2 linked regions of the Danio rerio genome follow. The protein of the gene in region 2 interacts with the protein of the main gene of each other region in a pairwise test. Links are inferred from orthologs where the notes say so. Each region holds a gene or a part of one and is shown on either strand. Other genes may lie near its edges.

Region 1 (7,921 bases), on a different chromosome or scaffold from region 2:
CTGTATGTTATTTACAAGATAGTATATTATTAATTTTACAATACAATCAAAGGTAAATTATTACTGTGAAAATTAAAAATGACCAGAAAGCTATAACCCAAAGTATTTTAAGCATTGCTTTAAAGAACAAGCTAATGAGAGCAGTTGTGATGCCAAAGGACTGTCTGTTCTGACCACTGCTGGACTGCCTCTTTACATTCCATTCCATCCAATCCTGCCTTTCACATCCCACAACACGTTCCCCTGAGACTGCTAACAATATTCTAAAACACATGGACAGCAGGATTATAAGAACTCAATTAATTCAGGAATGAAGTTATGTCTATATTGTGTCCAAAAAACAAACAAACAAAAAAAACTCTCAAGAAGCTTTTCATGTTCTAAATTAATAACTAAAACGGACTCTTTCTACATGTTACTTAGATGAAAAAACTTAAACTTTCATAAAATCTCTTTCTCATTTTTGTTTTTTTCTCCCCACTGACATTCAAGTTTATAGAGAAAGTTGCATCAGTAGAAGAAAATATACAGCTGACAAGATGCTACAGAGATCTGAAATGTGAAAATTGTATTCTAATGTATTCTATTCTAACACTTTGAATATTATTACTGTAAAAGCTGAACAATATAACAACATCATTCCTGTATGGAGGTTCGGAAGAAGTTTTTCTTATTATTCTTTTAAAAGAACTTACAAAATATTGTAGTTTCTTTCAACGTTCTTTCCATTTATCCTAAAATCCAGTCATTCAGTTTGAAACAGAGGGTTTTCAGATTTCTGTCGCAATGTTTTCTCCATACTATCAAGTCTCTGCAGCACAACTTACTGCCTAAGTTACTGACTAAATACTTTTTATTAACTACTTGAAATATATATATATAAAAAATCTTAATTCCCCCTACCAAATATTAGTTCAAGTCCAATTTATTTCTATAGCATGTTTCCAAACGGCCACAAGAACAACAAGCAGTACAGAGTAAACAAAACAGTAAATAGGCACATAATGTAAAAGAGAGCATAAAATATGTAAAATAGATTATACAAAAACAGTTTGGTTTCAATGCCTAAAACAAGAAAGTATTTGACCCTTTAAATAATCCCACCTAGTTAAAAGATGCCACCACAGTTGACCACACTAAACAAGATTAAAAACGAGGCCGCAGGCCCCCCGTAGAAGGGACTTATGTTTGAAACGACCTAGAAAATAGACAAGTCTTTAATTTAGACTTAAAAATTTGCATTAATGAAGACATTTTTAATTCCAAAGCCAAGAACTGGCTATAGCGAATGCTTTTAAAGTGGACCTTTGGGACTTTTAATAGAAACTGATCAGCGGAACAAGCAAGTGTTAGGATAAAGAGAAGGATTTTAAATTTGACTCTTTGTCTCACCGGTAGCCAAAGGAGAGTCCTTAAAATGGGAGTGGCATGCATATTTCAGGCTTTTTGTTAAAAATCTAGCTGCTACATTTTGCACTATAGGTGATCGATCTGAGGCAGCCCAAAATAGAAAGAGTTGCAATAGTCTAACCGGGAGGTTCTAAAAGAATGTATGACAATTTCTCAAGAACGTGAAGTGAGGGAAGACTTTATTCATTTCATTGAATTTTAGAAATAAGTTGAAGTTGATAAAAGCTATTTCCAACCACACTTGAAACATGTTTATTAAATTTTAAGTTCTGATCTAATGCAACGCCCAGGATATGTACTTGGGGTGATTTAAACTCCTCCATTTTGCCAAACCTGGGGCGTTTACAAACAACAATAACCTCTGTTTTCTCCTCATTTAAAAATAAAAAATTCTCAGAAAGCCATGCCTTTACCTCCTCCAGGTGCAGTGACAGGGAGTTCACAACAGAGGAGTCATTTTCCTTTTTGACTGACAGATAAATCTGTGTATCGTCCGCATAAAGATACAAATACAGGCCATATTTCTTGAAAATAAAACCTATATAGAGAGAAGAGAGAAGGTGCTAAAATCAAGCCTTGCGGAAGACCACACGTTAACGGTGCCATAGACGAGGAAAAGTTACCAATCTTGACAAAAAACTTCCTGTCAGAGATGTATGATGTAAATCAATTCAGCACTGTACCCCTCAGCACAACCCCAGACTCTATTGCTTATCTTTGGTTTCAAAATCTTGCACCAGGACATACTGCTTTCCGAATCAATCCTCTCAACTATGGCATACTGACCAGTGAATTGAGGGTTGAAATTTGCTTTAAGATTCTTAAATACTATTTCCCCCATTTGAATGGTTTTCTGCATAGTGTAAATTGTTCAGATATATTTTCACATTGTTAACATGTTCCTCAAATGATCATATTCATCCATGCCAATCTGAATAATTGATGTAAAAAAAATCCACTCCACACATGCATTTTTCCTCCAAACACAAGAAATATATATATTATAAATATAAATATATCAATATATACATATTATAAATAAAATATTATCTATTATAAATATAAATATATCTATATATACATATTATAAATATATTATTATCTATTATAAATATAAATATATCAATATATACATATTATAAATATAATATTATCTATTTTAAATATAAATATATATATACATATTATAAATAAAATATTATCTATTATAAATATAAATATATCAATATATACATATTATAAATATATTATTATCTATTATAAATATAAATATATCTATATATACATATTATAAATATAATTTTATCTATTATAAATATATCTATATATACATATTATAAATATAATATTATTAATTATAAATATATCTATATATACATATTATAAATATAATATTATCTATTATAAATATATCTATATATACATATTATAAATATTATATTATCTATTATAAATATAAATATATCTATATATACATATATCTATCTATTATATATCTAAAATATGTAATTAACTAATTAATCTATTAATAACTTTAGGTTTGAGGTTATTATTTGTTCAGTGCTTTGTAATAAACAAACTTAAATGACCAATGAAATGTCAAGAATTGTTTGTGGGCGGGGTTTGTGCTTTGTTGTTTAAACAAGTTTCTTTCTTTCTCTCTTGTAATGAAACACAAAACAGGTCTGATCCGATAAAACTTTTATTAAAGTAATTATCAGCTTTCAACAAGTCAACAATTATCAACAGTCAATAAATAGTGCAATTCTTATTTGGCGTTAAGTTTTAACAAAAATAAATAATTTTCTCTTTTGCTTAATTATCTTTTTGCATGAACAACCCTGACGACATGCAGAAAAAAACATCAACACAAGCTCAGAAAATGAACCTGTGTCCTTACAATTAAAAGTGCTTCGAACATTGACAATACAAAACAAGCAGATCCTATTTACAACTCAAAACCCACCAAACAAAACCTTTAGGCTTGTCATCGAGGTCATCATCATCATCATCATCATCATCTTTCTTTCTTCCCAGCCTTTATGAACATTTCATCATTTGCATATTATTTCATTATGATTGTTATCATTATTTCACTCACTAAACTTGCTGTTTTACTTTTCCTAAAATCAGTTTCTACATTCTTAATCCCTCTGATTCTCTCCCTCTGATTGCCTCATTATTTAATAACGTCCATAAAGTCTTTGACTCATATTTGTCTTCCTGCTTTTCAGCCTCTCTGGGCCTCCTGAGACATTGATCGTCCCAGAGCTCTGGGTGCCTTGGCGAACTCCATCCGCATGGGTTTGACAGGCGGCAGGTCTCTGGTGATCTGTTCCACTGCTCTCTTGTCTGGACAAACTCCGTCAGGGATGCGGACAGGTGGCAGATCCTCCAGGGTGTGTGGAGCTCCACGACCCAGGCGGACGCCCAGTTCTGCAGGCTTGAAGATGGGAAGGGGCAGGCTGTTCCTGTAGGGCAAGAGCTGGTGCTCTCTTACACCCGTATCCACAGTGCCCACTCTGCGCACACCCGACGGACAGGCCTGATGGAGAGGACGCACCTGCCAATAACGGGATAGAGACTCTCGCCGAGAATCGTCTGACATCAGCATCGACTGGCTGGAGAGAGAGAAACATGGAGAATTATAAATGAGAGGGAAGATTTGATATTTTTTTATGTGTTTAATATTAATTTAAGATGCACTAAATATAAATGATCTAAGTTGTTTTAAAAATGTCTAAAGATGCATGGATATTTCACAGAAAATTCTGGTTTTATTAACTTGTTTCTGTTTGAGTTTCTTTATGAATTGCTTTCATCTGTTAGACACAAATTTATTTTGAGGTATGCTGAAAACCATTTACTTCCATAGGATGTATATTTCCTACAATGGAAGTCGATGGTTACAGGTTTTCAGCTTTCTTCAAATTATCTTCTTTTTTGTTCAACAAAAGAAAGCAATTCATTAAGGTTTATAACCACTTGAGGGTGAGAAAATTATGAAAACATTTTCATTTTAGAGTCAACTATACCTTTAAATGATAAATGTAGCCTACTGGTGAGGAAAAACTGCATAGGATTAATAATAAATTTAACTTGTTCCTAATCTTTTTATTGATTTCTGTTAATTTGCTTGATCTTGTTTAAATCATTAATATACATATTTTTCATTAGCACAGCCTTTTTGTGAAACACATGCTTTAAAAAGCAAATAATATTTAATATTTAAGTAGTATAATACAAATAACTACATGATTACTTATTAGAAATCACAACAAAAATATGATTTTCTCACCGATCCTCAGGTTGTGTCTTCATATTGATGCTGCGCCAGTCAGCGGTGTAACTCTCTCTCTTATTTGGGTTTTCCTCCCTGACGCTGCAGCTGAGCTCGGCTCCAACCACACAGCCTCCTTTCTTCTCCAGGACTGAGCAAACCTGCATCTTCAGCTTCAGATTTTTCCTGATTTACAAGTTGGTATATTCAGTGCTTTTTTTCTGTCTCTTGTCCTGGTTGAGTGTGAGCGAGGGACTCCTTTTGCTCTGTCCGCTGGAGTGTGTGTCTCAGGCTTTTATACAACTCTGCAGCTATTTCTGTCTGATGGAATCACCCTGTACACACTGTCTACACATATGTCATCTGACACTCACACACCCACATATCCAAACATTCATACACACACTCTCTAACACAGCGCTGGGATAGGGATATAAGACCTGAGAAATCCCCAACCACTCATATTTCCATGACACATTCTATCTATCTATCTATCTATCTATCTATCTATCTATCTATCTATCTATCTATCTATCTATCTATCTATCTATCTATCTATCTATCTATCTATCTATCTATCTTTCTATCTGTCTGTCTGTCTGTCTGTCTGTCTGCCTGCCTGCCTGCCTGCCTGCCTGCCTATCTATCTATCTATCTATCTATCTATCTATCTATCTATCTATCTATCTATCTATCTATCTATCTATCTATCTATCTATCTATCTATCTATCTATCTATCTATCTATCTATCTATCATTCTGTCTATCTATCTATCTATCTATCTATCTATCTATCTATCTATCTATCTATCTATCTATCTATCTATCTATCTATCTATCTATCTATCTATCTATCTATCTATCTATCTATCTATCTATCTATCTATCTATCTATCTATCTATCTATCTATCATTCTGTCTATCTATCTATCTATCATTCTGTCTATCTATCTATCTATCTATCTATCTATCTATCTATCTATCTATCTATCTATCTATCTATCTATCTATCTATCTATCTATCTATCCATCCATCCATCCATCCATCCATTCATCCATCTTCTTACATACCTACCTGTCTGTCTCTCTCTATATAATTTCAGAGAATGTGTCTTTTCACCTGTCTTCATAGATATCACCATGAAACCATGGATAATAAAACTACAATAAGTTTACATTTTTAAATTAAGCTGTAAAACCCACCCACCCATCCAGCTTTGTTATCAATACCACCATATAGTGATTATGCCAATACAGTTTTTCTCAGTCGCTTTGGTACATTTCTCAGATCAGTATTGAAATTTTGCAGAACAGTAAGTGCATTTCTCAAAACCAACACATACAAATAGCAGAACACCATGGATTATCTGCAAAACCCAGTCTTTTGCTCAAAAACCTTAGTTCATCTCTTAAAACGAAGTTTCTATGTCAATGAACATGTTGTGTCATTGTGTACGGATATGACAGTCAAATTACTTAGCCATGCTGTCAATATAATAGTGTATTCTGAAGGGGTCTTTTGATGTGACCTGTAAAGGGTTTTTCTGATGCTTTTTTTGCTGTTTGTACCGTAATTTGTTGTCAGATCATGTCATTGTGATGAAAAAACCAACACAATCTCACGGCAATTCGTAACTTTTTCATTTAGTGGCTAATTCGTATGAATTCGTATGATCTTATTCGAACAATTTAGTACGATTTGCCCATCTCCCAATGACGGTTGGGTTAAGGGGTGGGGTTAAGTGCCACGCCTCCTTTTTCAAATCATACAATTTCGTACGACTAAACTGACAAAACATAAAATACTTTTCTCGTTAGATCAGGCTGGAAATAACAGCACAAAGAAAAAACAAAAGTAGAAATGTGTACACTGGACAATCTCCTCTGAGAAGCACCTTCATTAGAAAAAGTCAAGATCACCTGGGAGAAACTTATCAATTGTAAACAGATTTAGGAAAAAAAATAGTCAAATTAAAACGTGTTTAGCCATTTTGCATGTAAAGACTTATGCCATGAACAAACGATTTAATGTGATGGGGTCAAAACAGAGATCAAAATAATACATTAATATTATAAATTACATAATGACAATAATTTTTATCAGAGAATTGCACATAATCATTTTACATGGATGTATGCAAGCATTTGCAATTTGATCAAAGGAATGAGATTCTGCTTTTTCGATTTGCAGAAGTACCACACTGATGTGAAGATTGAACAGAATTTCAATTCTGATCTGAGAAATGGACCAAAGTGACTGTAAAAAATGTATAAACTGTATTAAACTATGGCTTAATAAATGGAATATCAACTAATGGATTGTATTTACAAAGTGAGACCAAACATGATTTACTTTTTTATATTATTGAATAAAAAATAAAGTGCTTTTTTGTTGATGATAGATTCTGCAATTCTTTTCCAGTTCAATTTAATATTCATGTTATATATGGTTGAATTTGTTGGTTCTGCAATTTAAGCACATTACATTTCTATAATGATAGATATTCCACTATATTGGTATTAGATGAAATAATGAATTGCTGGCTATAAGTATCAATATGATCTTATGGTGAAAAGATGCCAGATTTATCTATGTATTTATCAGCACTATCTAACGATCGCTCTGTCTGTCTTTCTATCTGTTCTTGTTCTGTCTCTCCATCAAAATCTCTACGGCATTGTGTATTATTGTGACAGTTGTTTCTCCAATGACCTTGCTAACAGACATCATAAGTCTCTCAATGGAAACTAAGCAGTGTTCAGATCTGGAAACAGACATGAGATTATAAACATGTGGCGGCAGTTGTTCCCTGCTGGTAATCTTCTTTTATACTGGTAATCTCTTACAGAAACATTGCTTAAATATAAAAGTCTGCTGCATTTATTAGTAACATAGTATAGCTGGAAAGTTGTAACAACCTTCCACTGGCCACATACTATTATTATCAATAATAATGTCAATAATAGTTAAATCAATGTGTTTTTCTGTACTTCAAACATAGAGTTAATATTAAAAAGCATGGCCAGAGCATGTGTTCAGTGAGTTCTGGCTCTGTGTACACTCATCAGATGAATATAGCGCTGTGTGGACAGAGGATGTGGACGGTCAAGATTCTCATGTTACACACACATTCTGTCCCCTGTCTGTCATTGACTGCTCTGTCAGTGACGCACTGGGACTTTACAGGAACTGACCTCACTCTTCTACAGTCCCCCTCTATGCAATCTGGC
Region 2 (8,643 bases):
TCAAGATCTGAGCTAAGGTATTTTGCTGTTAACTGTTATCCAGAGTCATCACATGCATTCAGAAGAACACTTTATGACAGGTCTGAGTGACTGATAAAAAATTCAGGAACCCCGAGTTCCCTCAAATTTTCCTCATATGCTTTATTGCAGAACGAGTTATCCAAGGCAAACAAGTGACACACACAAAAATAATTGCCTGCATCTATTTGCACACAACAAACCAATGCAATCTAAAATATAATACAATATAAATATAATATAATTTGAATTTGTTATTCATTAAAAAAAATTGCTTTACTAGTTTACATTACACAGCTTTTATTATTGGTAGTTACTGACCAAGATGATGATGATAATTAATTTGAAGGGTTGATCTGTCTCGACATTTGATTTTTAATTGTTATTCATGTATATAAACTGTTACTCACCATAGATACTCTTAAAGGTGATTCAATTACAATTGCTGCCCCCTTTTGAACACACTGTGTTACTTCAACTAAAACTCTCTTAACTGTGCAACCACAGAGACTCAACCACGTGAATTTCCTTAATGCATTTATTCACTGTTTGAACAAAAAAGCAGTGAAGACATTTAAAGTGTGCTTTATGGTTGAAAGAAAGTAATAATATAGGAAAATAAATTAGATTAAACACTGACAACAAACATCTGACGATTTCTGATATGATGGAAGACAAGATTTCACACACCCATAGAGCTTCTATGTTTCGACAATTGACAGCAGAAGCTTATCAAACGCATACTAATGATCTTTAAAATTGAAAAAACTTAGACCAACAGATTTCACGATGCCATCTTATGCACAGCCAGTGTAATTGTTCCATGTCTTCTCACCAAGATGTTCCTGCAATGACAGAATGACATAGAATTCCCATTTAATACTTAAGATTAAAATTAGCTGCTGTTTGATTTGAGATTATCACCTGGTTAGCAAAACTACAATTAAAACACATCTTGAGATACCAAAAGCATTCACTACACAGTGAAGCCTGTCAGAATGCATTTAGATTGACTCAATATGCTGTTATGAAAGCCAAAAATATTGTTCTGTTTTTTTTTATTATAACAAACGAGTTGCTTGGGTAATAGCACACAAGTCACAGTGCCATTTACCTAAATGTCAGTGCATAGGCATGATCACAAATAGATATTGATTTTTGTGTACAAAGCTAAAATTAAGTTACATTTCAGACATAACATAATACTGCCTGCTTTTCTTGCCCTTTCACCAGCAAAAGTAGTTATATACAAAGCCAGAGCAAAACAGAGGGGTATTCCAGAAAGCAAGGCTAACTTACAATCACATATACCCAGAACTCTAAATAGATAAGGGGAGTGCGGGGCACAAAGTAACGTGGGGTAAAATGTAACAATTTTAAGGTTTTTGCTCAGGGTTAACCATGGCATGCTTCCAAAATTTTCACCACAGCGTCGGCAGACATCTTCCTGCCAATTATTGAAAAAGTTTGTTGAAAATTGGACGAGAAACACAGAAACCATTTTTCCAGCAGTTTGCAGTATTTTTTATTACAGCAAATTTGTTTTACTTAAAAAAACATCTGTGAAAGCATGTACGAAAAAATCTTATATTGCTGTGATTACCATCTTCTAGGCTAAAAGATGAAACCATTTTGAAAGATGTAAAAAGACAGTGACTGCTAGTCAGTTTTGAAGAAAACACGACACAGCAGGGTTAGTTGTAACAGGGTGTTACAATTAAGCCACACACTGTTGGACACCAATTAAACTAACTGAATATTTTTATTTTTTATTTTTGATAATGTAATGTTGAGAACTTTTTAAATAAACATGATTTTTTTATAGAAAATATATATTTTTTAATAGAAAAAATTAGTTTTATTGCTAATAATGCAAATAAACGCATTTTATAATAATGCAAAAAAAAAATCCAAATGTGTTCATTAAGTGGATAAATAAGTAAATAAACATGCTGTGCTATGTATAACACAAAATAAATTGAGCCAAGTACTGAGGAAATATAGCTACTATTTAAAGTAAACAGAAATTAAATTAACTGTGTGGAATCTGCCTTTGTAAGCATGCGTTACAACTTACCCTCTGTTTGTTACAACGTGCCCCACTGCTGGGGCAAATAGTAACATTTTTGCTCCTGGCACTTTTGGCAATACTGCACAGAAACTGTAGGAGACAGTTTGTGTGTTGTTGGTACAAAAAATGGTTTGTCTAAGCCCATTACTTTGTTCATTATTTGGCCAAAACCAAAAAGTGTTACTTTGTGCCCTGCTCTTCCCTATCCCAGGTCAGACGGTGCTTACTCCAGGTATATCAGTTTCTAAAAATCACAGCTGGTGGCAAGTTCAGTCAACTTAAGAATCTGCCAACCATAAACACACAAGACATTCTCAAAAGAATAGCAATTCCACAAGTCATGGGTGAGAAATTAATGCTAAAAAAAAAAAAAAAAAGAGCGCCTTTTATTTTTTCGTTGTTCTTGTTTAATGGCAAGTTACATTCTTTTAGCATATTGCCAACAAATTTGTGGCTGTGCAGACATTTTTAAAACCGTTTAGTTAAATGTTCAATCTTTATTAACTACTGTGTACAGGAATTATAATGTTAAAATCAATTGATTTACTTTGTTTAAACCCATCCGCATTAACTTTAAAAAAAGATGAATTACATCTATTAATTAGTAATACATATGCCATGCATTATATTGAAATGGTTCCATTGCTTTCATTACTTTTGATTGAATATCCATAATGATAGTGGCAAAAAATTAACCATTACTTAAAAACATTTACTTGATAATAGTGCTTTTTTTAAAATAATAAACCCCCAAAAACTCATAAGAAATCATATGCCTCTCTATAATTATATCCATACTACAAATATCAATGATTCAATGAATCACTCATTAAGACTTGCCGCCATCTATTGGTGGTTTTGAGTGATATTGATCCAAGACAGTTCTAAAGCAACCAAATGACCAGCACAAAATATTAATCCTTGATGAATTAAAATGAATGGAATACTTTCTGAGAAAGTCACACGCCAATTTGATAGTTTCAATACTTATTACACGTCACTATATATACACTTTAGTGACAACTGGTGTGTGTGGAAGAGGGAAGGTATAATGGGATGAATGACTTTCAAAGATTGTTGTTTAACTGACTTTCCCTCATTTAACTTTCTTAATTAATGTCATCGATTTCTGCAGATTGTTTTGTTGTCTCTCAAATCAAAAAATTCTCAAGATACATAGAAATAAGACAGATGCTGGTCAAGAAGCTTTCCTTACCCACAGTCAGACTCCAGGCACACTGTAGGACAGTCGGTGGCATCTTTGGTTAGAGAAGCAGCCTGCTTGGCCAGTACAGATACAACTCCTCCATGTTCATCAGATAGTGAGCCCCGGCCTGGAGATTAAAATATTTGTAATGTCATTGAGAATTACAGTATATTTTCAAGTTCTGGAAACCAAATGGAAAAGAGTCAACTGAGAATCTATATAAAGCACAATTCTATAACCCTATATTTTGTTGAAAAGTTTTAAATTGTATATTGTTTTGCACATGGTAATACACTGAAAAAGCAGGCTTAAAATGCTCAAGTTGAATTAATTTATCAGATTAATATTTTTAATACTACACATGCCATTATAGATTTTACTACTCAAACTATATCTATACATCATTTAATTTTACTTTACATTTTTTTTGCATAATTACATTTGAATAGGCTTGTATTTTCTCCCAGTTAACCATGTTTTTTTGTTTACCATTGTTTCAGTTAACTTTAAGTTGGTCAATAACACAGTTATAAAGTTGTCCACAGTAGACACCCGTTCCCTGTTTTGAGAAACAAATCAAACTAATAAAAATTCAAAACGTTTTACATACCTTCAACACATGTGTAAATATTAAAAGCAATATTAACCTCTTGTTGCAAGTGAAAACCCAGTACATGTAAACCAAGCAAATCATGGTCACCAGAGGAAAACTATACTAAGGGAAGTATTAAGGAAAATATAAAAATTACTTACACCCTAGATTATGTCCTTGAGCGTCTGTGCACAAAACCCCAACAATAGCTGGATTTTTCATCCTAGAGTGAGAAAGGAGATCAGTAAATGAAGACGCAAAACGAGTAACGTTACATGCGTAAGAAAAGAAAGTGGTTTCTTTTTAAACATACGTATCGTCAAGATGCTGCTCCAGTGCACCCTCCATAACAGCGTCCTAAATAAGGCTATTAAACTAATAAGAAACACGAAATGTTCAGAAACTGGCAGCGATGTTTGTTACTTGGATAACTTCCGGGATGTCAGCTGACAGTTTAACACGCGACTTAACACTACGGCGCCCTCTAAGGGACAACAAGCAAATAGGATCTAGCGCCATCTTACTCAAGTCAGGATGGTAGGTAAATGGTCCTCTTTTGTTTGCTGCTAAACCTCGACAAGTAGTCAGTCATACAATATAATTTTTTGGGTTAAACATTTTAATTAAACTAAAATGAACACACAAGACATTCTCAAAAGAATACCAATTATACCACAAGTCCCACAGGAGAAATAAATGCTAAGTAGAAGAGTGACTATTTCTGAACCAAAATGAAAAGCTTGAATTTATTAATATGCAGCTGTTGGAATAAATGAATGTTCCTGCAGCACTGCTATTGACTGATCACCTATAATTCAGAGTCTAGATCTTCTATATCCTCGTTTTTATGTTGAACAAATAATAAATTCTTTACAAACCATTCAATGCTCTAAAAAGCAAGTAGGCTACATGTGGTTAACATTTAGCTGGCATTGTCAATGAGAACTCCCAGAGGAACGTGTGAATCTTCGGTGTTGGTATCTCTCTAAATGACCTTGTCCCCTGACCAGACGCACAATAAAAGACCACCGTCAATTGTGTCTGAGCTCAAGCTCTTTATCAGACAGTCTTTTCCATTTTTAACTCAAGATATTGAAGCACTCTCTTTTATAGTTTGTGAGGTTGGTTTAAGAGCCGGGTTTGACATGAGACACATTTTTTCTCTGTCACATCCATTAACTATATGTTTGCTTAACTATATGCGAAGCATATTATAAAATATACTATTACACAAGTTGTGCAAAGTGCAAAGCATGAATCAGGTTAGCAAAGTCAATATACATGCAAATAAGCTGGCAGAATAATAGCTGCCTGTTTCTGCCTCTCTAGAGCCCATCAGAACAGTTTAATCTTTCCTGACTGGATGCAGCCTTATATTTGATGAATATCATTTTTATAGGGTTAATTTAATTCCTTAACTTCTGTCTATTGATGATCGATTTATTTTTATAAATATAGTTTCATTACAATATTATTATTTTTGCGTGTGGGTATATATATACATTTAAATATATATGGATTTTTAGACTACTGATTTTTGTGCAGTTTAAGTCTTTTAATAAGATATTTTGCTTAATTTATTTTACAGTTTTCCTTGGATTGCTTTCATGCAGCCGTCAACTGAAACTCCACATTTTTAAAACAGTTAAAACACAGGCCTAAACAGCGGCACTCATGGTCAAAATAACACATTTTGGTTGCAAAATGCACATGCCGTGTCAAAACATTTAAAATATGCAACAAAAGCTATTTTAACCTTCAAACAACACAACTTGCTAACAAGTATATGAGCTCTTTCAATTAACCATTACACAATGAACAACAAAATACAAAATACAGACCTCAGTGTGAATCAGTGCACCATTGCTTGCCATTGTAACCTATTGCCAATGCCATTTGTTGTCTTTTTATTTGGGCTGCCTTTTTGCAAAGAATTGGATCCAGAATAAGAAATGCCTTTATTAAATTTATGTTGAATTCATGACATTTTTTCAAACTGTGGCTTAAAACTGAAATACTGTTAAAAAAACAGACAAAAGTAATAAAATACTGTAAATATTAGAGAAAACATGTAAACCAATATACAGTCAAATCTATTGTGAGTAGGACATAGCCACTATTGACCTCCTCCATCCATGCAGGCACAGAACAACACAGACCTTCTACCATTTTTAATGTTTGCAGACTGATTGCTAAATGAAGATTTGTGTGAAGGTGTGTCAAACCGGTGCTTTCAGTGAATTCATACTGATCTTGGTAGTTTCTAATGGTTAGGAATAGATGGTTTCTGTTTGGTTACCATAGCTAAAACAATGGAGTTTGGAATGCTTGAATGACATCCGTGTTAACTTTTTTGAAAAATGGTGCGGAAAATGTGTCAACCCAATGAGAAAGGGTTTAAACATTTGCAAGACCTGTCTTCTGCACTTGCTGGGATAGTGATAATGATAATGAAAATGAAGTAGAACCTAGTTTCTTTAACCAGGTCAAAGCAAACAAGAAAAACTGTAATTGAAAATGTTTTTAAAAATACTGTATATACATATATTGGATCATTTTTTTCAAGCATCTACATGAGAACAAATATTATCTATAGAGCTGTAAAAAGGTTTTGTGTCTCTCTGACACACACAGTAACACATAGGCTCTTGATATTGGTGGAGACGTACATCCCTAGAGCCAATGTATTAAACAGCACAAATTCTGTTTCATGCTTTTAAAAACATTTAAACACCTAATAATACAAATAACAATAATAATAATTCTATGCTGCAAAAGTCAATTGACATGATTTTACTGTAATCTGGTTTGAGGAGGTATGAATGTACAGAAATTTAGAGAGGCATGTGACAAAATGTAACAATTTTATTCCTATTATCTGTATGAATTTAACTCTTTAAGCACATTTAGGTTACTAAGGCTTGACAGAGCATTATTTTATTTTGAAGGCTATTAAATTATTGGTGGGGACATTTCAGTAATTGGTGAGGCAATGTCCCCTCTGTCCATGCCAATTCTACGCTCTTGATAGTTGGACAGACCAGTATTATGCGCACAAATTGAACTTTTTCCTTTTAGTTCTGAAGATGTGTTTGAATAAATAAAGTATTGAATAAAATGATAATTATGATATAAAGGCTAATATATATATTATTCTTTTATTTGAAATTTATTGCATGTGGAGTCATTGTTTCAGTCAAACAACTCTATTATATCTACCAATAGTGGAGTTTACTGCAGTTTATACTATTTCTATACTTTATTTTTTATGTTAATTATGAAGTCAATTATTAAGTGAATATAAAGCCATATATCATCATTTCATTTTACATAAAAGACATGCTCTGATTGATTTCATTTCATTATTTTCATCTTTTGGCTCAGTTTTCGTACTGCATTTGTTATGAAGTTACGTTTAACAGCTTTCAAGCTCTTTTAGCCAACTTAGGTTCTTTGCTCATGGCAAGGCTTGATGATTTCTGCCCAGTCCTGTGCAGTTAGAGCCAAGCTGGTTTGCTGACAAGGCAAAAAGTTGCAATGTAATTATGTGGCCCAGGCGTCAGTGAGATCAATCACTTTCACTGCAGCCGAGTAATGCTCTGCTGACTAACCAATGGCATTTTCATGCTCCCGCTAAACGTAAATCAAATCCCAACAGCTAGGACTGACATTCACCAGTCTGCTATCCCTCACACCAATTGCCTTCAAGTTGGATATTTTATTTAGCTATAATTTCAAGTAAGCTCATTGATTCTGTATAGCTGTGTTTCATCACGTAGCTCACGTATCCCAGAGCTTTAATGGTCAGCAGTTCAAATGGGCCACATCCACGTTTATTTTTTTGTTTTCTGATCAGTGGTCAGAAATTATATAGTGATAAATTATTTTATTTGCCATTCATTATGAATTTGTTAGTGTGTTAATGTTATTTTTAAGCTAGTATGCTCCAAAACAAAATTAATATTTCCATTTCCATAAGTATATGCATTCAAAAATGAGTCTCTGGATTTATGCACATCCCTCGTACTTCAGCTTTACATCAGATTTCTAATCAAATGGTCTAGTTGCGACTGAAACTGGTTTCTTGTTTAAACATATTAATCTTGTGTCATTGCTGAAAAGTCTCAACCAAACAGTGTATGATTGTGGATTCAAATGATTTAGTCAGAGCAAGTCTCTAGTTTATGCGAATGATTTGAAAATGTACCTAAACTGTGGCAAAATCGAAAAGGAGTACTTAATACTTTTAATTGAGAGATATTTTCTAAAGATATCTGTACCTTTACTCAAGTACTTCACATATGTACTTGTCTTGCAGTGGTGGAAAGAGTACTAAAAAATCATCAAACTCAAGTAAAAGTACCATTACTTGCATAAAAATATAGTTCAAGTAGAGTAAAAGCATCTGTTGTAAATATTACTCAAAGTATGAGTGAAAAGCCCTTTCAAAAGTACTCAAGAGTAGTGAGTAGTGAGTTTTACACTGTAAAAGGTTGATGCGTTTACATGTAATTTGTAGATGTGTGTAAACGTAACATTCTGTAGTGCATTAAGTGATTGCCCAGCAAGCACACAACGTCATAAGACATTAATATTAGGTTAGATTTAGGTTGTGATGTCAGGTGACCAAATTCAACGTCCAGTCAGTGTCTAAGGACGTTATTTTGATTCCAATAATGACGTTGATATTTGGTCAATTTTAGGTTGTTAGAAAGTGACCAAAATTCAACGTCGAGCCACCATCTTACACCAGAA

Evidence for each region.
Region 1: the proteins of lamtor5 (region 2) and tcap interact in binary tests that used the Homo sapiens proteins (3 or more experiments, as listed by UniProt). The link is inferred for Danio rerio from reciprocal best matches to the Homo sapiens genes LAMTOR5 and TCAP.

The regions. Positions count from the first base shown.
Region 1 is NC_133178.1:19,971,882-19,979,802, forward strand, and holds tcap (telethonin), read right to left. Parts: upstream 4,963-7,921; 5' UTR 4,858-4,962; coding exon 4,709-4,857; intron 4,032-4,708; coding exon 3,641-4,031; 3' UTR 3,094-3,640; downstream 1-3,093. UniProt on the Homo sapiens protein: Muscle assembly regulating factor. Mediates the antiparallel assembly of titin (TTN) molecules at the sarcomeric Z-disk.
Region 2 is NC_133183.1:26,632,090-26,640,732, reverse strand, and holds lamtor5 (ragulator complex protein LAMTOR5), read right to left. Parts: upstream 4,363-8,643; 5' UTR 4,237-4,362; coding exon 4,202-4,236; intron 4,112-4,201; coding exon 4,050-4,111; intron 3,424-4,049; coding exon 3,306-3,423; intron 864-3,305; coding exon 803-863; 3' UTR 283-802; downstream 1-282. UniProt on the Homo sapiens protein: As part of the Ragulator complex it is involved in amino acid sensing and activation of mTORC1, a signaling complex promoting cell growth in response to growth factors, energy levels, and amino acids.